Elephas maximus indicus: one gene and its partners. The protein of the gene in region 2 interacts with the protein of the main gene of each other region in a pairwise test. Links are inferred from orthologs where the notes say so. Each region holds a gene or a part of one and is shown on either strand. Other genes may lie near its edges.

Region 1 (7,386 bases), on a different chromosome or scaffold from region 2:
CGCCCAGGGCCTGCTGCGAAGTCTGCCTGGACGCTGAGCCCTCGCAGCCCACTGCCTCCGGGAGAGAACGGGACTGGGACGCCCCGGGAGATGGAGAAGGTGGCCGTCGCGTTGGACAGCGGACGCACGGCCACCAGGGGCCGCTACAGGACAGGGGGCAAAGTCGCCCGCCACCCCACCCGGCGCGCACACACTTGAGTCTGGACTCGGTTTTCTTGTCCTGAGAGGAGGGCACAGGAAAGTCTTTATTGTGGACCCAGCAGAGTTGGCCTTTACTCGTGCAGACTTTCCGGCCCTCACCCAACTCCGGCTTTCTGGCCCAGGCTCCTGCGGCCCGCGGTCGTCCAGGAGAGGGCTCTAGGCGCCCTTCCTGCAGCGCTTCTGCAGCCAAATTCGCTAGACCGCCGCCGCGGTGCCCAGTCAGGAGCCAGGCTGGTCTGCTGGCCCACCTATCGTTCTTTCATTAGATTCTAGACTGAGGCCCAAGAGCTGCAGACACCCCATCAGGTAGTGGAGGAAGGGGGACTGCAGGGAGAGGGCGAGGCCCGGGATGGCCTGGAAGAGGAGGAATAGAGGAAGGTGGAGCGAATGGTCCATCCTGGTGGGAGCTGGCTGGGCGAGTGGCCGCGCATGTGAGCCTGCATGGAGGCCAGGCTGGGGCAGCCGGCCAGACACAGAGGGCAGCGGTAGGGCGCAGCCCCATGGGTCCGAAGATGCTTGGTCATGGCAGAGAAGTCCCGGGAGCGCTGAGGGCAGAGGCTACAGGAGAATGGTTTCTCACCTAGGACGGACAGAGGGGGAGCCCAGTGGAGAAGGGAAGACGGATGAAGGCTGGTCAAGCTACGCCATGCAGAAGCGGATGAGGGAGCCAGCAAACTGAAGTTGGGAAGGAAGCAGGCAACTCATGCAGGGCTGGATGCCCCTACCTGTGTGGACTCGGTAGTGTGTCTCCATCTGATGCTTGAGTGAAAACCTCTTTCCACAGACAGAGCAAGAATAGGGCCGAACGCGAGCAGGAGGGGGCGGGGGAGGATGTTGGTGAGATATGCGGCCCGCTTTGCCATTATGACCCACAGAGGTTGCAGTCGAGCCTGCGGGGACAGGAGTCAAAGGAGGGTGAGGCAGGGCACCCAGGCTGGGTCACAGGAACACCCAGGTAAAACATCAGGGGCTACAGCGGAGCTTAAGCCAAAGCATCCCCACCCTGTTCACCAGTGTGGTCCTGATCAGATGCTTCCATCTCCCCAGGGCTTAGCCGTGTGTGTGGGGGGGGGGGGTCCTGGGGGAGGGAATCTGGAAGGAGCAGAGTGAGGTGGGGGCCCTGCTGAGACTGGACTCTTAGAGCCTCTGCCCTGCCCGAGGAGAAACCACGTTATAGCATGTGTGCAGTGCAGTGAGGGGCTTACCTGGAGTGGGGCTGGAGGAGGCCAATAGGTTCTGGCTCCAGAGCCCTTTCTGGAGGTTCAGGGGCAGTGGGATCCTAGGAGGGGTGTGGGGGAAGAGTTACAGCCCTGGCAAAACCCGAGAGCCTCGCCATCCCTGGTCTCTTCCTGGGGAGAGAGGTGTCCTAGGACTTTCTCAGGGGCGGAGCTCTGAGCTTCCTGTCTCATCCCCTGCTCAGGAAATGTATAGAAGATATAAGAGGTGTGGTGCCCTTCCACCCATCACCTCTGCCTCTCCTAAGCCACTCCCTCCCGGCTCCTGAGACCTCCACTAAGCCCTTCACTCACCTCTGGTCCTGAGGCCAGACCTCCTGCCGGGATCCAGTGATGGGGGTGATGGGGGTGATGGGGGTGCTGGGGGAGAAGGGAGTGCCATATCTGGGCGGCAACAGCAGGATGCTCTGCAGGGCAGGCTGGCCCTCCCCCAACCAGGGGGCCTCAGCCCACCAGGGCCTGGGGACGATGCTGGCTTGGAGGGAACCTGGTTGGGGAAGGGGGCTAGGGGACTCCCACAGACTTTCCTCAGAGCTCCCTGGACTCTCCCTCAACCACACGACAGCTCCTGGCTTCCCATCTTCTTCCCCGTGGCCAACAGAGGATTGGCTGAGTTTCTCCTTTGATCTCATTTGTTTCCCATGACCCTCTCGCTTTGCCCCTGTCACCTCATGGCTCTCTCCTGGTGGCCAGTGCTTGTGCCGTGGTTCCTGTTCTCTCCCACCAGCTCTGAAAAACTCTGGCCTCTGCTTCTCTCCAGGGCCCCCCAGTTCCCTCTCAGAATCCCTTAGGGGTTTTTCTGGCTCCTCCTGATGTTTCTTCGGCCCTGGTTCCTGCTCCTCATTAGTCCTGTCCCTTCGAGCCCTTCTGCATGCTTCTTCCAGGGCCTGGACCCCCAGGGCTCTGGCCGCCTCCTCAAGGGCTCCCAGCTCCCCAGGGTGCAGCTCCACACTCTCCCCGTAAACAAACTGCAGAAGCTGGGCAAAAGTGGAAGGGCTGATGCCTTCTGCCAAAGCCCACCAGCCCCTGTGACCCAGCTGCTGGCTCACACCTGCTAGCACCAGGCTGTGGGCTGGAAACTCTTGGCTTCCCACAGTGATCAGGGTATCACATAGTGCCGGCCGGAGCCTGGCTGCCAGCCGTACCAGCCGATCAGAGGCGTAGGGGCTGGGCAGTCTCATGGGGGGTAGGGACATTGTGCCTTGTCTGGGTACCGATCTCAGTGGTTCTGAGAGGAAGGCCACAGTATGGGCTCCATGGTGGAAAAGGGAGGGAGGAACGGCATATTCTCAAGCCTGTGGAGGTGAGGGGAGAAAGAATGAGTTGCTGGTCCTGGATCAGAGCTCTTTGTCCTCAAATGGAGCAAATAAACCAGCCCTAGAGAAAAGCTGAACTTATCCAGAATCGTAACAGGGGTGGGGAGTGAAGAAATGGAAATTAGGCCAAATTTAGACTTAAAGAGCAAGGATCAGGCAGTCAACAAAAATACCAAGTAGCTGATTTAAGGCTCGAGTGTATGTGGGGTCTGCCAATTGACAATCTGGCTTAATGGATAGCAGACATTGATATTTCTGCTGCTTCAGGTCCCTCTGCAAGGAAAGACTTCTAAGCAGGCCAGGCTTTCCTCATTCCAGACAAAGGGATCACCACAAAACCCAGCCAGTCAGCCCAGGCATTTAGGGAGGAGCAGGACTGAGCTTCACAGGCAGAGCTTGGAAAGCTGGTGTGTCCGCCCTCCACGGGCCCAGCAAGTGGTTGCTGAGGCTTCTGAGAAGCCAAGATAAGGGTCATGGCTGCAGGAGAGCAGGCTATAAGCCATCCATCAATCAATCATCCCCCTTAGGCTGAAGCTTCTAGAATGCATCCTCAGAGCAGGAACTGGATAAGAACAAAAACTCCCATCCAGTGAGTTGAGAAAGCAGGCTCAGAAGCCACAGGAGAGAAAGCTGATCCAAGGATGGAGAGAGGCTTTGGAGAAGGCTTTGACCCCTGAGGAAGTGAGAGAAAGGGAAATGGGAACTGTATAGGGGAAGACTCTTTGCTCTCAAGATTAGGATAGGAAGATGGTTTAATTCTGTTTTCATAAGCCAAAAAGCGAATAGAAAGACAGAACCCAGCAAGGCAGGAGTTTCTCACAAGTGAAAACTACCACACTGGCTTTCAAGAAGAGAACTCGGAGCCCAGACACACAGAGAAACAGAACCAAAGTGTCTCCACACCCAACAGCCATATTCCTGGGGGCAGGCTCACCATGAGCAAGGACCCTTGTGGGAGGGAAGGTTACTACTTGGACACCTCCGGGAGAGGGCAGCACGTTGGCAGGGAGTGAACAGAAAGGGTGGAGTGTGGGGAGAAAAGCCTCAGCTGGAGAGACGCAAGCACTCACCAGTTGTAGCATCCTCACTGGACACCGCATGCTCTGAACTGCTGGTCGGGCTCCTGCCCCCCACCCCCTCCCCTGAAGCTAGCCCCACCCCTGACCTCACCGTCCTCCATTGGATGTCCCAAGTTTCAGTCTGCTACAGTCCCCCGGGGGGTGTGGTTTTATACCTCTAGCTCTGCTTCACCCCTCCAGGAGAGGCCGGCCTCTACTTCCAGACGTTCTGCCTCCTTACCTCCTGTCTCCTGACCTCATTAGTGAACTAGAGTCCAAGAAGTGTACCTGAGGCGACAAGGACTTTGGAGCAGTCAGACTCGCATTTCAGTCTCATCTCTGCCATTTACTAGCTGAGTCATCTTGGACAAGTTACCTCCCTGAGCCTCAGTTACCTCATCCATGAAATGGGGATAATTTCTGCTTATGCCACTTGGCGGTGGGGGTGAAGATGATATGACATGATGAATGCGAAAGTGGTTTGTAAGTGCATAGCATCATCCAAATAGTATTAGTTCTGGTTCTTAGAGGTGACAATAGAGCTGCGGTAGCTGAAAGCTGTTTCTACTCCTACCTCAGAAGTAAAAAGGATGGAAACAACTGGATTCCAAAGAGAGCAGGAGGGAGGGCCACAGGCATTCCTCCTTCTCCCTGACTGTTGGAGCTGGGAAGCCTTGCTTGCTCTGTAGGAATGACCCCTGACATCTGGGTCGCAGTGGGGTATTGAATGTGAGTAACTCGGATCCTCCCATCAAACTCTGGAGGGGGCAACCCCAGGAAGGGCCTGCGGTGGTCTTCAAAGAGAGAAACTCCTTTTCTTGGGTTGATGACAAATGACATTTCTCTGAAATCAGGACTTAGGTTTCTTTCACTTCCTGCCCAGAAGGTCAAAGCCCCTGGAGATTTCCCCTCTTAGTTCTAGCACTGTTTAATCTGGGGAAGGGAGGAGGTCTGAGAGACTCAAGTTTCTTTTTCTGTTTCTTATTATTCTATTATCCCTGCTCCTGTACCACATTCTACATTCATTCAATAAATGCTGATATGATACAACAGTTACGATACGTGTCTGGCATATCATATATGCCCAATAAGTAACTGGAAGATAAATAAGATATCAGGCACTGGGAGCTGTTCTGGTAACAAAAAAGATAGCCTGGTGCCCCCCTGGTTTACCCTCCAGCTACATGTCAGGGAGTGATGCTTTATGCGTCCCTCCTAGACTCAAATTCTAGGTCTCTAAGCGCCTCTTTCTCCCTTTGGCTCCAAGACACCAAAATGTTCAGACCAAACTTCACTGTCTCCCTCTATGCCTAACATGTCTTCTCTGTACCTCTCATTCTAGTTTGGGTGTGAGCAGGTGTTAACCCTTCCTAGATAAGACAGGGTGTGCCAATGGGTGGGGCTGCCGGAGGGGCAATGGGGTGGGGAGAGGGGAAGATGAGTCAGAGTGAAAAGGAAAATGCAAATGGGCAAGCTAATTCACCTGCTACCCCTCTGAACATTAAATATTTTCCACTTCTGAGCTTTCTGACTCCTCACACCACCACACCCAGGGGCACATCAGATACCCACATAAAAGACACTTAGTCTGGACACATAAAGCATCAGTCCCTGACATGTAGCCTCCCTCCCAAATAGAAACTCACAGTCCTCAAAGATACAGACTAAGTGGAGAAGGCCATCAGGGAGAAGCCCCGAGCCTAGGAGGGGTAACAAAGCAGAGGTAAGGAAGGTGGTCCCAGTGGAGTATGGTTCCCTCATCACCCAGCCATACGTCACCAGCCCATGACTCAGCTCCCATCACCAGTGTGGTCTGCCCAATGATGATCGAGAGACTTGGAGATTCTGCTCAAAGGGCACCATCCTCTGTCAGCCAAATGTAGATGACACGGAGTGTCAGGGGGCTTTAGGGAAGTCTAAAAGGGAGGAGAAGGGGCAAGGGGACTTCCCCTTCAGTGAACAAAAGCCCCCAAGAATGGGAAACCCCATCTTGCCTCCCACTTGGTGTCTAACCCACCTAAGGGTATCTCCTTAGAGACAGCCTCCTCAGAGGTATCCCCAAGGCCCTCTGCACCTCAACCCTTATGCAAGTGACGCTCTAGGCCTTTCTCCGCCCTCTCACCACATTCCCACAGAGCAACCCAAAGCATCCTGCACCGAGCAGTGACAGCAGAAGCAAATGCCACCTTGACTTGGAAGGACAGGAACACTGCTGATGGTTTGCTGCTCTTGAAAGTCTTTCCTCTCCAGCCTCAGACACCTCCCCACCTCCCAATTCCCAGACAGACTCAGTAGGGAATCACCTGTAGACGTCCTCCTGGGATGGAGCCAGGAAACCACAGGTTATAAAGACACAAGCCTGCACCCTGGGAGAGGGAGGGGGTAGGAAGGATTAGGTAGGAAGAAGATTATGTGGGAAAAGGAGGTCTGATTTCTGCCTCTCGGTCCTTCCTAATACTCATGTTGTTGTTAGGTACTGTTGAGTCGATTCCGACTCACAGCGACCCTATGTACCACAGGACGAAATACTGCCCAGTCCTGCGCCATGTTCACAATCGTTGTTATGCTTGAGCCCATTGTCGCCTAGATTCATACTCATACTACTAAGTTTAAAATCTGATATTTTTCATTTTTACTGGTAGGCTTGACCAAGGGGACAGTCAGGGGGAAATCATCAGGGGTTCAGTGCACACCTCAGCTACAAAAATAGAGCTTTCTAGAGATCCTTGCGTCATAAGTCTGTTATGGGTTGAATTGTGTCCTCCTCCCACCCACCCAAAAATATGCGTTGGAATCCTAACCTCTATACCTTTGAATTTAATCCTGTTTGAAAATAGGGTTTTCTCTGTTACGTTAGTGAAGCCATACCAGTTTAAGTGTGTGCCCTAAACCTAATCACTCCTGAGTTATGAAAAGCTGATTGGACAGGAACACACACCAGGGAAGACAGATGCCATGTGAGGTCTGTCTACAAGCCAAGGAACCAAGGAATGTCCAGGGCTACCACGAAGGAAGGAATCGACACAGGAGAGACCCTAATTTGGACTTTTAGCCTCCAGAACTGTGAGAAAATAAATTTCTGTTGTTTGAAGCCACCCCTTTATGGTATTTCTGTTACAGTAGCACTAGGAAACCAAGACACCCTTCAGGCACAATGCAGCATGATGTAAAAATGTCAACATAACAACACAAGTATGGATTCTCTTCACAACACTGTAACTGAAATCAAACCATGAGGTCAATTAGAGGGATGATTATTTTACAAAAAGTGTCCTCTGTTTATCTCACTTATTTTAAATATTGAGCCCCTAAGCTAAGCTAATCTAGATTCAATTGAGAAAAATTGATAGCTTGCCACTGCCCCCCCCCCAAAAAAAATCTTTTTAGGCAAATTAAGGTGGTTAAACTCTTCCCAGCATTTTATATAGTATAGAGTATCTAATATAAACCCACTGCCCTTGAGTCAATTCCAACTCATAGCGACCCTATAGGACAGAGTAGGACTGCACCATAGAATTTCCAAAGAGCACCTGGTGGATTCGAACTGCCCACCTCTTGGTTAGCAGCCATAGCACT
Region 2 (6,826 bases):
TGGCGCATGGATGGACAAACAGATGGATGTAGTGGCTGAGTGAATGATGTTACAATAGCCTGCTCCCACCTCACCCCCTGGAATCCATCCTACACTCTCCAGGCTGAGTGATCTTTCTGAAATATTAATCTAACCAACCGTCTCCCTTCTTAAACCCTTCATCTACGTCTCTTCGTCTTCAGAATAATACCCCACTATACTACAATACTACAAAGCTTCATGAAGCCCCACAGTATCCGGCTCCTATTTAATTCTCCAACCTCCTCTTCCCCCATTCTCTGCCTTCTCACCTGCCCTCAATGCTATTCTGTAGCCACACTGCCCTTCTTTCAAATTCTCAGGTATACCACAATTCTCTCACCTCTGGGCCTTTGTTCGTACTGTTTTCCCAGGGAGTGGAGAGGGGCGGGGTGGAAATACTGTTCCAAACAAACTCTGTAGTATGTCATTCAAGACCCTTCAACAGCGGGCTGCAGATTTCGTCTCCAGCATTTGTGCTCCAAATATGGTTATGGGTTTGTACGTCTGCCTCCTCAGCTCAACCCACATGAGCAGAAGCCATCCATCTCTGCATCTCTGTGATCATGGGCATGAAGTGTGTGCTTTCTAAACCTTTGCTGACCTGAGAGAGGCCAGTCCAAGAGGGTCCCAGACCAGAGTTCTTCCCACTGTTCCTTACAGATGCTGACAGGTCTGCAATGAAAAAAAAAAAAAAGTACTTGAGATGCTCAAAAGGTTTCTCTTTTTGCTTTGGCTCCCAGGAGCCTCAGAGTGCACTATAATCAATGTTCAAGTACATCAACATCTTGCCTGATCCTAGGAGGTCTTCTCCACTTTCAGATTCTCCAACTCCCTCCTTCTCAAGGATGAGCAAGGGACCACAAATGGATACCCTCCCTTGCTTTGTGGGTCCATCTCTATATGGAATCAGCAGACTCTGAGCCTCCCCTCAGGCTTTCTGGTGGCACTCTCACCTCTTTGCCACAGATGAGTGCCAGAACAGTCCTGTTGGACTTCAGACTCTCCCAAGAGAACCAGTGCCTCCCCATCACATTAGGGTGGACTCTTACCCACTCCACCACCAGGCCCTTGAGAACCTTCACAGGGCAGGGGCTTCTTTGAAGACTAACACCTTCCCTGCCACAATTCTAACTCTGAGAGCTTGCTAAGGGACAGCAGCTAAGATTCTTGGGGGAATGTAGTGAGTATTCCTTTTGGTAGGGAGTAATCCTTCTAGGGTGGAGCCTGTGACCCTGGCCTGGCCAACCACACCCCTAAACCACTCTTCTCCACAAAGAGATTGGTTTAGGAGTGGGCATGTGAGCTGTACCCAGCCAATCAGCATAATCGAATCCCTTGACCATGCTAGCAAGGGTCCTGTAGTGAACAAGAGAGGCTCAGCTCTGCTCTCAAGGAGCTTACAAATGGTAAGGGCAACAGATTTTAACCAATCATTACACAAATAATTATTTCAATACTATTGCAATAAGACCCATGAAGGAAAAGGTCACTGTCATGGATGGAATTGTGTCCTCCAAAAATATCTGTCAACTTGGCTAGGTCATGATTCCCAGTATTGTATGATTGTCTACCATTTTGTCATCTGACATGATTTTCCTACGTGTTGTAAATCTTATCACTATAATGTAATGAGATGGATTAGTGGCAGTTACATTGATGAGATCTACAAGATTAGATGATGTCTTAAGCCAATCTCTTTTGAGATATAAAAGAGAGAAGCAAGCAGAGAGACATGGGGACCTCGTACCACCAGGAAAGCAGAGCCAGGAGCAGAGCATATCCTTTGGACCCAGGGTCCCTGCACTGAGAAGCTCCTCGACCAGGGAAAGACTGATGACAAGGACCTTCCTCCAGAGCCGACAGAGAGACAAGGCCTTCCCCTGGAGCTGACACCCTGAATTTGGAGTTGTAGCCTGCTCAATTGTGAGAGAATAAATTTCTCTTTGTTAAAGCCATCCACTTGTGGTATTTCTGTTATGGCAGCATTAGATAACTAAGACAGACACTCTCCCTACTTTTACTGGATATTAAGAAACACTGCAAAACTGTGACTGAAGCCATTTGCCCATTATGCTATTCAGATGTGACAAATCCAACTTGGAGTTTTGTACTATGGAGAAAAACTTCTTCTGACTAAAGGAAGCATGCCATTTTGGAAGAAGAGACAAAACAACTGTGTCAACCAATCTTGTTGCACTTTTCACTTAGGTACTAGGAAGCTCAAAGCTAAAGTGACACTTAGATACAGGGACTGTGTTACTTCTGTTCCTAGTGGACCCTGCCCCGCTCTTCCTCTCTTTGATTTCCAATCCATCTGCCTTGACAGTGGAAATATATGTGCCTCAAGATGTCAAAAGCTAAAGGGAAATTGTGGAAAATTCTTTTTGGAAGAGGGGAAAATGAAATCATACAAAGCCTGTTTTGACCTTCCAAGAACTTCCAGGTTGTCAGGCTCTGGCCCCACCCAGTCTGCCCAGCCTGGAGGGAATAAGGAGCAGCTCTGCTAAATCAGAGAGGTGTTCTGCTCCTGCCTGACTCAACCAATGTGACCATGCTGGGGAAAACCCAACAAACCCACTGCCATCGAGACCCTATAGGACAGAGTGGAACTGCCCCCATAGGGTTTCCAAGGCTATAAATCTTTATGGAAGCAGACAGCCACATCTTTCTCCCATGGGTTCATACTGCTGACCTTTCCGTTAGCAGCCAAAGGCTTTAACCACTGGCTACCAGGGCTCGTCACTGGTGAAAGAGGGAAACAAAAATTAGAGCAAACTTTTAAAGAACAAAGTGACCTGACGGGTGTTACCTTTAGCATTCAACTCCACAAAACATAGTGCTAAGCCCTTCACTTGCTTTGTCTCATCGATTCCTCAACTGCCTTGTAAAGTCGATACTCTTACTCTCCTGTTTCACAGACAGATAAGTTGAGGCTGGAAGAGGTTATGTGACTTGCCCAAAGCCAAACAGCTAGTATAAGGCACAGACAAGACTCCAGCACAGGCCATTAGCAGTGTCTTGGTGCCACAGGCCCTAGCTGAGAACAAGAACATAGCAGAGAATGATGACACCACCACCCCGTCACCCACTGGGAACAAAACCCCTGAAAATCGCTGGTGTACAGGGGTGGAAGGGTGAGACACCTAAATGAAACCACCCCAGCCAGGTGCCTGTCTCTCGGCCTTCACAATAAGGGTCCTGCGGTTGCATTTATGCCCAAAGGTGTCTGGGCGCTTGGGGTGGGGGGTAAGGCTGCCAGGGACAAGGCCCACAGGGCCAGGCCTGCCAACAGGCCATTTTCACACATAAAACGCACAACTAGCGGTGGGGAGAGAGGCGTGGGATTGCAATCCCGGGCAGCGCAAGGTCCAAGCCACAAGATTGCGTTTCCCCAAGTAGGCCTCTAGGTCCAGGTCTGAAAGCGCCGGCGTCCAAGGCGCGTCTTTTAGCCCTTATGACCCCGTGCGCACTGATCCCCACACACCCCTGGAGAAGGGTTCCGGCTTTTAAGGATTGAGAGGAGGTCGCGGAGTCCCGGAAAAGCAGGACAGGGTGCAAGGGCCACCCCGCAGGGCCTGAATGCCCTGGCCTCTGGGAGCTTGCGTCGGGCTGGCTTCCGGCCTTGAGGGTAGGGCGGGGGTCTCGGCTCTGCGCTTTCCGAGGCTAGGCGGCCCTGGAGGCGCGGCGGAGCAGGGCGCCAGGTCGGGCGTCGGGGCTGCAGCCTCACCAGCACCAGCTGTCAGCGAGAACCAGGGAGGGAGGCGCCGCCGATGATGGCATCTCGTGCAACATTGACGCCGGCCGCCGCGCTGCCATCTCCCGGCACCTAGCGCCGAAGCGGCCATCCCAGAGCCCTGGGGTGTCGGCGGGCAGGCTCGGCCGCTCTTGTCCCGCAGTCTGGGCCTGGATAAACAGTCACAGCCGAACTCGTCCCATCCCACCATTCCAGAAGCCGGAGGCTCAGACTGAGAGCTTGGGGAAAGCCGGAGCAGGTTCTGCCAATGGGTCTCCCCCTTGAGGTTTCACTTGCGGGGTTATCTGGCCACTAGGCAACGCTGGGGAATCCGGAGGCCTACGGGTGAGAGAGGGGCAGGCCCCCAGGTCCCCTCAGTCCTTCCAGTCTCCCAATGGCTGCCAGCCAGGAACCGACCTGAGGGACCACATGGGCAGAGGCCTCCCACGTGCGCCGTCCGGGAGAAAGGCGGCCGCTGGAGGGTGTGCAAGGGAAGGGACCAGACAAGGAGTCGCAGAGGCGTCTGTCCTCGTGAGGTTGGCCTCCCCTTTATTCCCCAGACGAGTCTCTGAAGAGGGAGAAGGGGAAATTCCCCAAGCAGGGCCGGTCGGGCGATTGCCCCTCCCGAGCACCCCCTTACATAGAGAAACCTTGGGGTCTGACCTCAAACCTCCGTGGCTGCCAAAATCTGCACAGCTGATTCTCTCTGCCAACATGCAAACCCGGCTCCCTCCCGCAGGCTGAGCAGGAAAAGGAAAGGATTGACTCTCATAACCCCAGCTTGACCATCACCTGGCAGGCCCCCGGGAAACTCCGATCAGACCCGGACTAAACGGAAGCCGGCCCGTCCCCTAACGTGCCAGGTGGGTAACTGAGCCCAGCAAGAGTAAAGTGTCTGGGCTAGGGTGGGACCCCAGCAGCTTCAACCGCAGACGGCTGGAGCCCCTCCCACGCACCAGCCGTCCCGGGGCGCGCTTCCCGGCCTAGGGCCTCTGCGGAGAGCCGTGAGACCCCAGCCTGCTTCCCGAGGGAGGACAGGGCCCCTAGCCCGCTGGACTGCGCGCCGCCCCCTCCCCGCTTGCCTAGGCTAGCGCCTTGCTTCCCCTCCCCCCCTTCCCGCCTCCCCGGCCGGTGTCCCCGCCTTCCCCGCGGGCGACGGGCGGCGGCAGCCGCCGCGGCAGGAGGAGCGGGCCGAGCCGAGGCAGCCCGGACCTTACGCGCTGGGATGTAGCGACCCGGCGGGGGCCGAAGCAGCGCGCAGAGTCGGAGACTGAATTGGATCCGGGGCCCCAGCCGGAGCCGAAATCTAAATCTGAGTCGGCGGCAGGCGAGCCCGGAGCCGACGAGCCGCAGACGCAGCGCAGCCCAGGTAGGGTTAGAAACGCTGGGCTAGGGGACGCCGACGCTCCGCGGTGGAGGAGCGCAGGGAAGTGGCGGCCGAGTCCCGCGCTGTTTGCTCCGTGCGGTCCAGCCGGTGGGGCAGGACCGAGCGCAATGCGCGGAAGGCCAGGCGCCATCGGGGCAGAGCGAGGAGTTCATTCCTGAGTGGTGCGCACGGTCACAGCTGCCATCTCCGGGCGCTACCTCACCTAACTGGTGGGCCCACCCCGCGCTTCGGCCCCAGGCACCCCAAGAAGGCAGCAGCCTTGGGGGCGCAGGCCAAGGACACCCTGGACGCCCCGCGCAACTTCTAGCGGTGGCCAGGGCGCAAGGGGTCCCCAGGGAGAAAGGGACAGGCGAGAGGGCTGTCCGCTGTTCCCCGATATGCCCTGGGTTGAGGGCCCCCAGCACAGGCGGATGCGCAGGCCCCTCTCCATGGCCCGGGACTTCGGCCGTAGCTTCGCGTCAAGAGGGTATTTGTCCTAAACGAAACCGCTTCGCTCGTTTGTTCGTTCGAGCAGCAATATGGCAGAAAAGCAGCAGACATCGGCCGGAGCCCCGGAGCCTCGGGTCCCTTCGATCGCCAACCCCGACGTCCGCCGCAGCGCTGGGAGGCACCCCCAGCCCAGGGCGGCCTGCCCCGCGCGCAGAGCTGCCCTCTCCCATACGGGTTGGGCCTCACCTTCCCCTTACAGAAACCCTAAATGCTTTTAGTAAAGTCCAATAAAGACATTCCCACGGCTTCTCCCGGTTCTGGTTGCTGACGGAGGATTCCCCAGCACACAGCTTCTTCTCTAGAGCCGGGTCTAGGGATTCTGAAACTGAACAGCCACGAAAGTTGGAGCCGATTCTACTGTGGCAAAGCAAGGGCTCTGAAGCCAGGTAGCAAAAATGGGAACCCCGGTCTGGAATCATGGTTCAAAGGTTTTCTGATTTGGGAATTCCCTGAATCTAAAAATATTAAATCCACTTCTCTGAAAAACTAAGGCCCCGGTATGCTGGATTTGTGGTTGCCTCCGACAGCCACCAAGGCCAGAGCAGGAAACCCCAGGTTGCTGTCCACTTGGCCGAGGATGCAGGTCTAGGGTAATGAAGAAGTCTAGGGTAATGACAAAGGCTGTGGGCACCAGGGCAGCATAGGAGAGGGACTTGCTGTCCTCCTGCCCTTCCCCAAGACATTTTGGGACTCTCCACCTCTGCCAAAGAAAGGAAAAGTGGTGAGCTGGGGCACCGATCTGTGGCTGCTTCAACTCTAGGTGGTAGAGGCTCTATTTGTTGACCTCCGAGCCAGACTCAGAGCGCCCTTCTCCCAGAAAAGCAGCTGCTGGAAAAAGGAGGCTGTGGTGCAGCAAAACCTGACCCTCTACTCCCCAGTTATGTGGCCAGCCATGGCCACTTTCCTAGCCCTCTCTTTCGCTCAGCCACCCAACGTTTTTTGCTGGGCTCAGGAGAGCCAGGGGCCCTACCAGCCGCTGCCCTGACCGAGCAGGCTGAGCAGTCCACAGCACAGAGACCAGTTCCTCACTCCCGCTGGCGTGCCACTAGCACCGTCCAGCCGAGTGCATCCCACAGCTCCCCAACAGGACACGCTGGGGATCCCGGAATGGTAGGAATCCTTGGGCTGGGGTCCTGGGAGGCCTAAAAGACCCAGCGAGATCGTTCCCAGCCCCTGCCTGAGCACCCTCACCCAAT
Region 3 (7,945 bases), on a different chromosome or scaffold from region 2:
TCTCTACACATCAAAAATGGACATTGTTGCAGGATGGAGACCACCGTGCACAAAAACCCTACCTTAGTGTGGAGGTTATTGCCCTTCACAGCTCGGCCATGTACATATACCTGCTCCTCTCTAGCCTGGCACCCCTCACTACCTTTTGTAAATATCTGTATCTAAACCAGAATATTTTGGTCAAATATAAAACAAAAAAAGGCATGGCATCATAGTCTGGGGTAGGAACAACCCCAAGAAAAGGAGATTATGGGGTATGAACACAGTAACTCACAGAATCACTGAATTAGCAGTCTCAGAATGAAGGAGAATCTTTTATGTAATCTGTCCTCATCAAATATAGATAGAATTCACTTCCTCCCCACCTCTCCATTACAGACAGAAAAAGATTCAACATTCCACACATACACCTCTTCCCAACCTGTAGGCAGTAGTTCACCCTTCTCTACCACACTGCCCTCCCCCCTGGCAGGCAAGGGAAGACATTTCTCCCAACTGGTGGGGGTAATTCTCAGGTTCATAGGGCAAAGGCTGCCCCAGGGACAACGGCACTGGTGTTGTGAAGCTGCAGTTTCTCCGGAATGGTGTGTCCAATGTCTTGATATTACTGACACCCTGGAGGAATGCCAGAATGAGAAAAGATCCCCTGCCCCCAAGTCAGAATAGAACAGCCCCTCCTTTTACTCTCCCTTCCCCAACACCTAGTCACTGTCACTCACCAGTAGCTGTGGTGCCCTCTGTAGCCAGAACGTTTCAGGCTGCTCCTTACGGTAGTCGTGGGGCTGTGAGGGAGAGACACTGAATAACTCTTAGCCTACAGTCCCTTCTCTCAGCCTCTGGGCCTGCTGCGTTCCCATAGCCTGTCAGAGTCCAGCTGTGCATGTGGGATGGGATGAGTTCTCACCTTGGTGGGGGCGGGAGGCCCTGCTTGCACCAGCTCCATTTGGTAGTCATGGTGTGTCACAGACTCAGCTTCAAACAGCTTCCTTGTGGGTTCCTGCTCTGCCTGTACCTCTTTACTATACAGCCCTGAGGGAAGTCAAGGCCACTTTCTCCCAGTTTTTGTCCTCCCCTTCCCTTCCATCTTCCCCCAGACTCCTACCAGATCTGGTGATGCAGGAGCATCTCCACCATGGCTTCCCGCTTCCCTGTGGGAGGGCAGGGGGTGGACAGAATGCGGAAATATGGTTAAGAAACAGGCCCAGAAAAAACACATTTATGATAAAGGAATGAAAATCTTATGGTTTTTTTTTTTTTTTCCTATACTCATTGGACCATCCACAGTCCCACTGAAAATTCCTTCCTCTCCTGTTTTTCTGATTAATGGACTAATTTTGGCCTGTCTCTCATGCTTCACACCTCGAAGTGACTGACAGACGTTTGCTGGGGGTTGGTACGAGTCTTTCTGGGTGGTGCTGGAGGGCATGGGTGACTGCAGCTGCAGGGTCAGCAGTCCTCGGTGTCCGTGTCGGAAGAAGAAACTCTCATAACCATCCTGCATGCTTGGGACTTGATCCAGGTGGTTGGTAGCCCTCTGTGGACCCCGAGTTGAATGACCATGATGTCCCTTCTGGTACACCCTCAAGATCTACTTTCTCCCCCAGGAAACAGGGCAGCCCTTAAGAAAAGGGGGCAGGCCAAAACCTTAATACCTCCTCCTCCCAGTTGTAGAGGAGACACTGGCCCCGTGGCAATGTTTCAGAAAGCCCCTTAGATTTCCCTTGGACCTTTGAGGGCTTCCATAGCCCTCGGGCACCAGGTTCTGGGACTTGCAAAAATCCCCAGGATGGCTGTTTCTGAGGCTCCAGGTAGCACTGCTGCCTCCAGGAGGTGTAAGTAGGGTCTGGATCTGCTCTAAGGTTTCTGAGCTCAGGGCTAGGGCCAGTGCTTGGACCAAGGCCAGAGCCTGGACCAGGCCCAGTGTCAGAGGCAGGACCAGGACCAGAGCCTTGACCAGAGCCATGGCCAGGGCCAGAGCCTTGACCAGAGCCACGGTCAGGGCCAGAGTCCCAGCCAGGACTGGAGCTAGTGTCAGGAACAGGACCAGAGCTAGAGCCACGAGGATGGCAAGAGGGAGAGCTATCAGTTGTAGTACAGCGGTCCTGAGCAACACGGGAAACATAGGTGGGCTCAAAGCCAAGACTTCCATGGCCTATTTTGTGAGTAAAACTGGATCCAGCATAGGAATCCCCAAGAAAACTGAGGTCAGAGGAGGGATCGGTGAGAAAAGCCTCAGAGTAGGGCCCTGGGATCTTTGTAGATAATGCAGCTGCTTTGGCAATAGAGGCGGCTGCAGTGGCTGCAGCAGCTGAGGCAGCCGAAGCAGCTGCTGCGGTTGCGGCTGCCAGGGCAGACCTAGTAACGCCATCTGAAGAAGGAAGCGGTTCTGAAGTGGACCCTAGTCCTTCGGAGCTGGGCTGTACGTCTAAAGACCTGAAAGAGAGCAAAGCCGTCAAAGTTGTCAAAAGCACAGCTGAGGAAGTCAGCAGACCTTCCTTGGCCGCTTATGCCTGCAGCCACAGCTGCAATTCTCACCGCGACTCCGATCCCTCTGTACACTCGTTTCTCTCCATCTTCAGGCACCAGCTATCGCGTTGCCATGGAGATGGCAAATAAATCCTAGAGACTGCGCAGAACCGGAGCGGGGCGGATGTGGATGGTGGGGGCGGAGACAAGTCCTCTGCGGGGCGGAAGTCTTAAACCTGACGTGGTTTGGGACGGCTGCTTTCTCCTTCCGACTCCATTCCGCCTCAGGCCCATTTTAAGGTTCCGCTGACCCAAGGCCTTGTTCTCCATGCCCAAGCATGAGCCTTGGCAGCTAAGGCTGGGTCTTTATGGGAAGATGCTGGAGACAAGCAGAGAGCTGTGGCTCAAAGGCAAAAGCCTACCTGGTGTGTTTGTGGAGAGGCAACAATAGCTTTCCCTTAGTTCATTCTCAAAAGTTGAGGGAGTCTTTAAAAAAAAAAATTATGGATGAAAATACACGAGATGACAATTTGAAAGTAAAACAGCGAGACGTAGGAAGAGTCAAAGAGTAGCAGGTTTTTTTTTTTGTGGCTGCTTCTCCTCCAATAAAAGGTACAGGCCTTTCACACTGACCATCTTCTCTCCCCCCCACCCCTGCCCCCCTACCTTAGAATCTGGCTTGGCCTCTGAATAAGGGCCGGGATTTGAGCAAGCCTCATTCCTGCTACTTTTCTGTAAGTCTGACCCGGAGTGCTTCACTAGTCATGAAGACTCAAATCTACAGGCAACCACTCCTTTAATCACAAGGTGGGGCTCCTCAGTGTTTCTCACTCACTCAGACTATAGTTAAGAGGGATCATACCTGTGGATGTTACCCCCCCCTTTATGGTATAAATCTTTATATATTTAAGACACGGATCCAAAGTTGTAGGAGAGGTTTATTGGCATCACAGGGTCCTTTTTCCCCTTCCCCATCCAAGCATCCAGGCCCGGGGTCCTTGGTCAGTTGATTGGTTGGTTCATCCTGGAGGCCACAGGAGCTGTCGGCCCCCAAGTACATGAATGTGCAGGTGATAAACAGATTGTGCGCCCAGCTTCCCATCGTTGATCACTGAAAGGGAGCTTGGGGTTAGGATGTCAAAAACTGAAGATCATATTAAAGGGTAGGTATGAGAATTCATAGGTTAGGGGCTCAAGGGCCAAAAGTTACGCACCAAGCCGGTATCCATCTGCCAGGCCCTCAGCCTTTGCTATCTTCTTGGCCACAAGGAGGAGGTGTCCTAGAAGCTACAGGGAGAGGGAGGGAGCCAGGTGGCTTCATTCACAAGGAACAAAATCTCCAGCTGGTCCAGGGCCTCCCCAGCCAAACCGTGGCCCCGTTCTTCCCACCTGCTGATCCTCCTCTTCAGCCTGGCTGATCCGAGGAATGGGCTTCTTAGGAATGACCAGGAAGTGCACAGGAGCCTGAGGGGCCACATCACGGAACACAAGGCACTGGAGGTTGGAGGAAGGACTTATCAGGCAGTGACAGGCCAGACGCCACCATGTTACTTCATTAGGCAGGACTGTATCTTTGAGGGGTTACCTATGAAATTCCTGGGGGGATGTGTCCTAAGGGCATCCCACCTGATGGTCTTCATATAGAATGTCAGCTGGGAGGCTTCGGTCCAGGATCCGGGAGAAGATGGTTGGGGCTGCTCCCCCAGGAGCTGCCCGCTGAGCCTTGGCCACTTCGTTTCCATCAGTCACACCTGCGCATCCTCGGACCTGAAGGTTGGTGAGACATACTCAGAGAAGGATTTGGCAATACCTCTCCCATGTACTAAGGGCCACAGAAGCTGAGCTCTGATAGTCATTAACTTCACCCTTCTAAGAACCTATTAGTGACTCCCACCCAAGGGAAAAGGTGCTGAATTTCAGAGTATCAGCAACAGAGGTGGGGCCAGATGGTGCTGGGCCTAGCTACGTAACAGGAAATATTTCAGTGAAGGATTCAGCAGTGCAACTGATTCCTGCTCCTAACCTGTCTAGGGGACCTAGCACTGTCAGGGGAAAAGGATCCATAATGAGAAATCCAGAGGCTCAGGTCCCAGTTCCTATTTTACCACTGAATTACCTCAGATAAATACCTTCTCTTCAAACAAACAACAAAAGAATGGTTTGCATCATCTCTTAAATCCACTCAGAGCTCTTTCCATTTACTCTTACCTTGTTAATAAGTTTTCACTTATTTCCATTATTTGCTTTCTGATCTTTAAGCCTTGTCACCTATTTTATTCAGATTTTAATGCAACTGCCCTGTTTGTCACGAGTTGATCCGTCATCTGGGTGTTATGTCTGACCTCTTACTGTGGATTGCAACTCCTGTCAGCCCCTGGAGTCAGTGGAGGGAAAATGTCACCTAAGTGAACTCAGCTCCCTCAGCCCCAGGGAATCGGGGGAAGGAAGTCCCAGGTGTCCATCGCTCAGAAGAGACTGAATTCATGAGTCACTTTGGGGAAGGGGGCAGGGTACAGGATGAATTAGACTTCTCTGACCCTCGAGTCGCTCTGGCAAGTCGCTGGGGAAGATGAAGGGTTAACACTAGTGCTCATTAGAAGGCCCGGGTCCTGAAGACAGAAGGCTGGCTCCGAAAAGGGGAAGCTCATTTCCTGCAGGGGGCATCAAGTAGGCTGCCCAGAGCAGGCATCGGGTCAGCTGGGCTCCAAGCCGGAGGTGATACCAGCCGCTGCAGTGACCCTGTCCTGATCTCGGGTCTGTGCAGGGCATCGGTCACCTCCAGTTCGCGTCTCTCGCGGAGAGGGTGCCGCGACCTTCAGTCCGACCTTATCGCACAACCGCAGAGCCTGCGCCTCGGTAGAGGCAGACGCCACAGCCGTGCGCTCGGGCTCCGGCCCCGCGAGGCCGCAGAGCTGTGCATGCCTTTGGGATCACGACCCTGGAGGGCGCCAGAGCCCACGGGACACCCTCCCCGCTCCTGCGGCCACTTCTCACCTGCGCCCCCTGCGACCCCGCGGCCGCCACCGCCCTGCGCGCTACGCGCAGCCCGGCGGCCAGCACAAAGGCCGCCGCCATCTTCCCCTCAGCTACCGCGGGAAGTTTTCGCCTAGGCCAGTACTCTAGGCCGGTTCGAGGTGGGGCTGGACGCCACAGGCTGCGTCGGGGCTACCGGGGGAGCGGGTGAGGAGCGGCCATTGGCTCCGCCAGCGCCCAGGAACAGCCCTGCCATCCCATTGGGTTGTGCTCCTAGGCGCTAAGTGCCGCCGAGAGGGTGGCACTATTAACTCCATTGACTCCTCAGCTACGTCAGAGGCGGGAGCTTTTCATCCCATTGGCGGCTTTTGCCAAGCCGAGAGTGATTTTTCCACTAGTCAGGGTGAAAGTTCTTTTTCCATTGGATCCCCTAAATAGTTTCACGCCATTGGAATGATTAAGAGACCCAGAGGTGGGGTTTCCTCCCAATTGGATCTGATACAGAACACGGGTTCTGCTTAGATTGAGGCTCCCCAGGTCTAGCCCCTACTGGTGGACTCTGGGGACGGGGGCGGGTTCGGTCATCTGCCGCACAAAGCGCTAAAATATTTTAGATTCTTCCACCGCATTGGTCAAGAGGAGGGAGGGGTTCGGAGGTAACTTAGCGTTTATTGGCTCCAGGGAATTCCCGCTAACCCCTGGAGCCAAGGCCCTAGGAGTCCCGGAAGGAGGAGAGCGAGTGGAGGACAGGGGACTGGCTGGGCTGAAGGTGAACTGAGTCAGAGTTCTTTTTTTTCCATCCTACGGGTGGGGTCGACGTCTAAAAGTTGTACTTGTCAGATAGCCACCATTTGCACACAAGGGCAGTTTCAGCCTCATGAGCTTTCTACGATTTTAACTTACCGGTTGATCTGAGGGCAATTCTGCCTTAATTTCATGTTCTCGTTAACGCATTCACTCCAAAGATTAAGGATTCTGCAGTTGTAGGGCTGTTTTTTTTTTTTTTTTAATTGGGAGGGGGGTGTTCTATTTTTGCCTCACTACTAAATAAGCAAAAGAATGTATCTAATGTTCTTTCCTAATCAGAAGTTAGCTCAGTGCCTGGTATTTTCAGTGAAATACATCATGGACATAGGTCAGAAGCATATTTCCCTGTGGTGGAATATATATTTTTGACATAACAAACATGGGGTCACAAAATGCTAATATACTCAGACACCACAGAAGTTGAACTCTGAGCTTAAGCACATAGGACAGGATACCACTGTATCTTTAGTGGCCTGACCCATGTAGGTGCACAATCATTATTTGTTGAATAATTAACATTTGATGTTTTTCCTTTCATAATATACAATGCATATGTATTACATATTATGTTTATTCTCTATGCCCCACAGACTTTCCAAGGAGCGCCTGGTGGATTCGAACTGCCGACCTTTTTGGTTAGCAGCCACTCAACCACTACGCCACCAAAATTTCCTATTATTGATTAGTCTATGTAAATATACTTTATAATGGCTACATAATATTTCCTTGAGTGAGTTTATCACAGTAACCATTACTGTTGATTATTAGTTGGGTTATGTTTAGGTGAATTATCATAGTGCTAACTGCATATAGGAGCCCCCCCCTTTTTTTTTTAACTGCATATAGGAGCCCTGGTGGTATAGTGGTTGAGAGCTTGGCTGCTAACCAAAAGGCTGGCAGTTTGAATCCACCAGCTGCTCCTTGGAAGCCCAATGGGGCAGGTCTACTCTGTCCTACAGGGTCACTATGAGTCAGAATCGACTCGATGACAATGGGCTTTTTTTTGTTGTTGTTAACTGCATATAACCAGTGATTAGCTCTTTGCTTCTGGAGATAGTACAATCTCTTTTCGTATAGCTGTATTATTGTTAGAAAGTCCTTTCTCCCTGAAGGGCAGACATTTGACCCTGTGACTTCCCCCAGGGATCCTAGAAGTCAGGCTGTAGTCATTCCTTCGGAAGGATAGAGGGCCTCCCTAAATATAAGTAAATGTAGACTGGCCTTTTCTCTGTGTTTCAGAGACCAAAACTTTTTGTGGTGTCTCTGGGATAGCAGGACCCCCTGGAGCTCGCGTGGAGAAAGGTAGCTGAGATGTAGGACGAGGTAGGAAACCAGCCAAGAGGGGTAGATGAGTACAAAGCACTTGAAATTAAGATTAAGGTAATTGGTTATTTCTTTGGGTTCTCATAGAGAGCAGGTAGCAAACAGATTATTCCTGATTTACAGATCTGAAAACTGAGGATCAGAGAGGGAAAGTGACTTGCCTAGGGTCACAAAGCCCATTGGACTTTATACCAGTCTGATTCTGATTTTGTGTCAGAATCTCATACTCCTCGTAAAAGTTATCTATGGACTTCCTAGTCACTCTCCTACATTCACTGATCTTGGCCCCTGAGTCATAGTCTTCTCTATGTGAAGCGCTTCTCATCACCTGTAGCTGCTCTCATCTGAAAGCTTCAGTGCTCTGCAGAGTGACCAC

What was found. The genes of interacting proteins can lie anywhere in the genome.
Region 1: the proteins of PITX1 (region 2) and ZBTB32 interact in a two-hybrid assay, tested with the Homo sapiens proteins (2 studies listed by BioGRID). The link is inferred for Elephas maximus indicus from reciprocal best matches to the Homo sapiens genes PITX1 and ZBTB32.
Region 3: the proteins of PITX1 (region 2) and SPAG8 interact in binary tests that used the Homo sapiens proteins (3 or more experiments, as listed by UniProt). The link is inferred for Elephas maximus indicus from reciprocal best matches to the Homo sapiens genes PITX1 and SPAG8.

Annotation. Positions count from the first base shown.
Region 1 is NC_064829.1:114,682,506-114,689,891, reverse strand, and holds ZBTB32 (zinc finger and BTB domain-containing protein 32), read right to left. Parts: upstream 2,633-7,386; coding exon 1,731-2,632; intron 1,481-1,730; coding exon 1,407-1,480; intron 1,092-1,406; coding exon 927-1,091; intron 782-926; coding exon 504-781; downstream 1-503. UniProt on the Homo sapiens protein: DNA-binding protein that binds to the to a 5'-TGTACAGTGT-3' core sequence. May function as a transcriptional transactivator and transcriptional repressor. Probably exerts its repressor effect by preventing GATA3 from binding to DNA.
Region 2 is NC_064820.1:147,512,482-147,519,307, reverse strand, and holds the start of PITX1 (pituitary homeobox 1), read left to right. Parts: upstream 1-3,825; 5' UTR 3,826-4,013; intron 4,014-4,079; exon of another isoform or gene 4,080-4,290; intron 4,291-4,493; 5' UTR 4,494-4,617; intron 4,618-4,625; exon of another isoform or gene 4,626-4,985; 5' UTR 4,986-5,123; intron 5,124-6,826. UniProt on the Homo sapiens protein: Sequence-specific transcription factor that binds gene promoters and activates their transcription. May play a role in the development of anterior structures, and in particular, the brain and facies and in specifying the identity or structure of hindlimb.
Region 3 is NC_064827.1:44,604,820-44,612,764, forward strand, and holds SPAG8 (sperm-associated antigen 8), read right to left. Parts: upstream 3,004-7,945; 5' UTR 2,574-3,003; coding exon 2,536-2,573; intron 2,434-2,535; coding exon 1,653-2,433; intron 1,535-1,652; coding exon 1,360-1,534; intron 1,149-1,359; coding exon 1,103-1,148; intron 1,020-1,102; coding exon 905-1,019; intron 783-904; coding exon 720-782; intron 616-719; coding exon 436-615; downstream 1-435. Other genes in the region: adenosine 5'-monophosphoramidase HINT2, read right to left, coding at 3,486-3,577, 3,681-3,753, 3,856-3,960, 4,093-4,233, 5,461-5,541. UniProt on the Homo sapiens protein: Microtubule inner protein (MIP) part of the dynein-decorated doublet microtubules (DMTs) in cilia axoneme, which is required for motile cilia beating.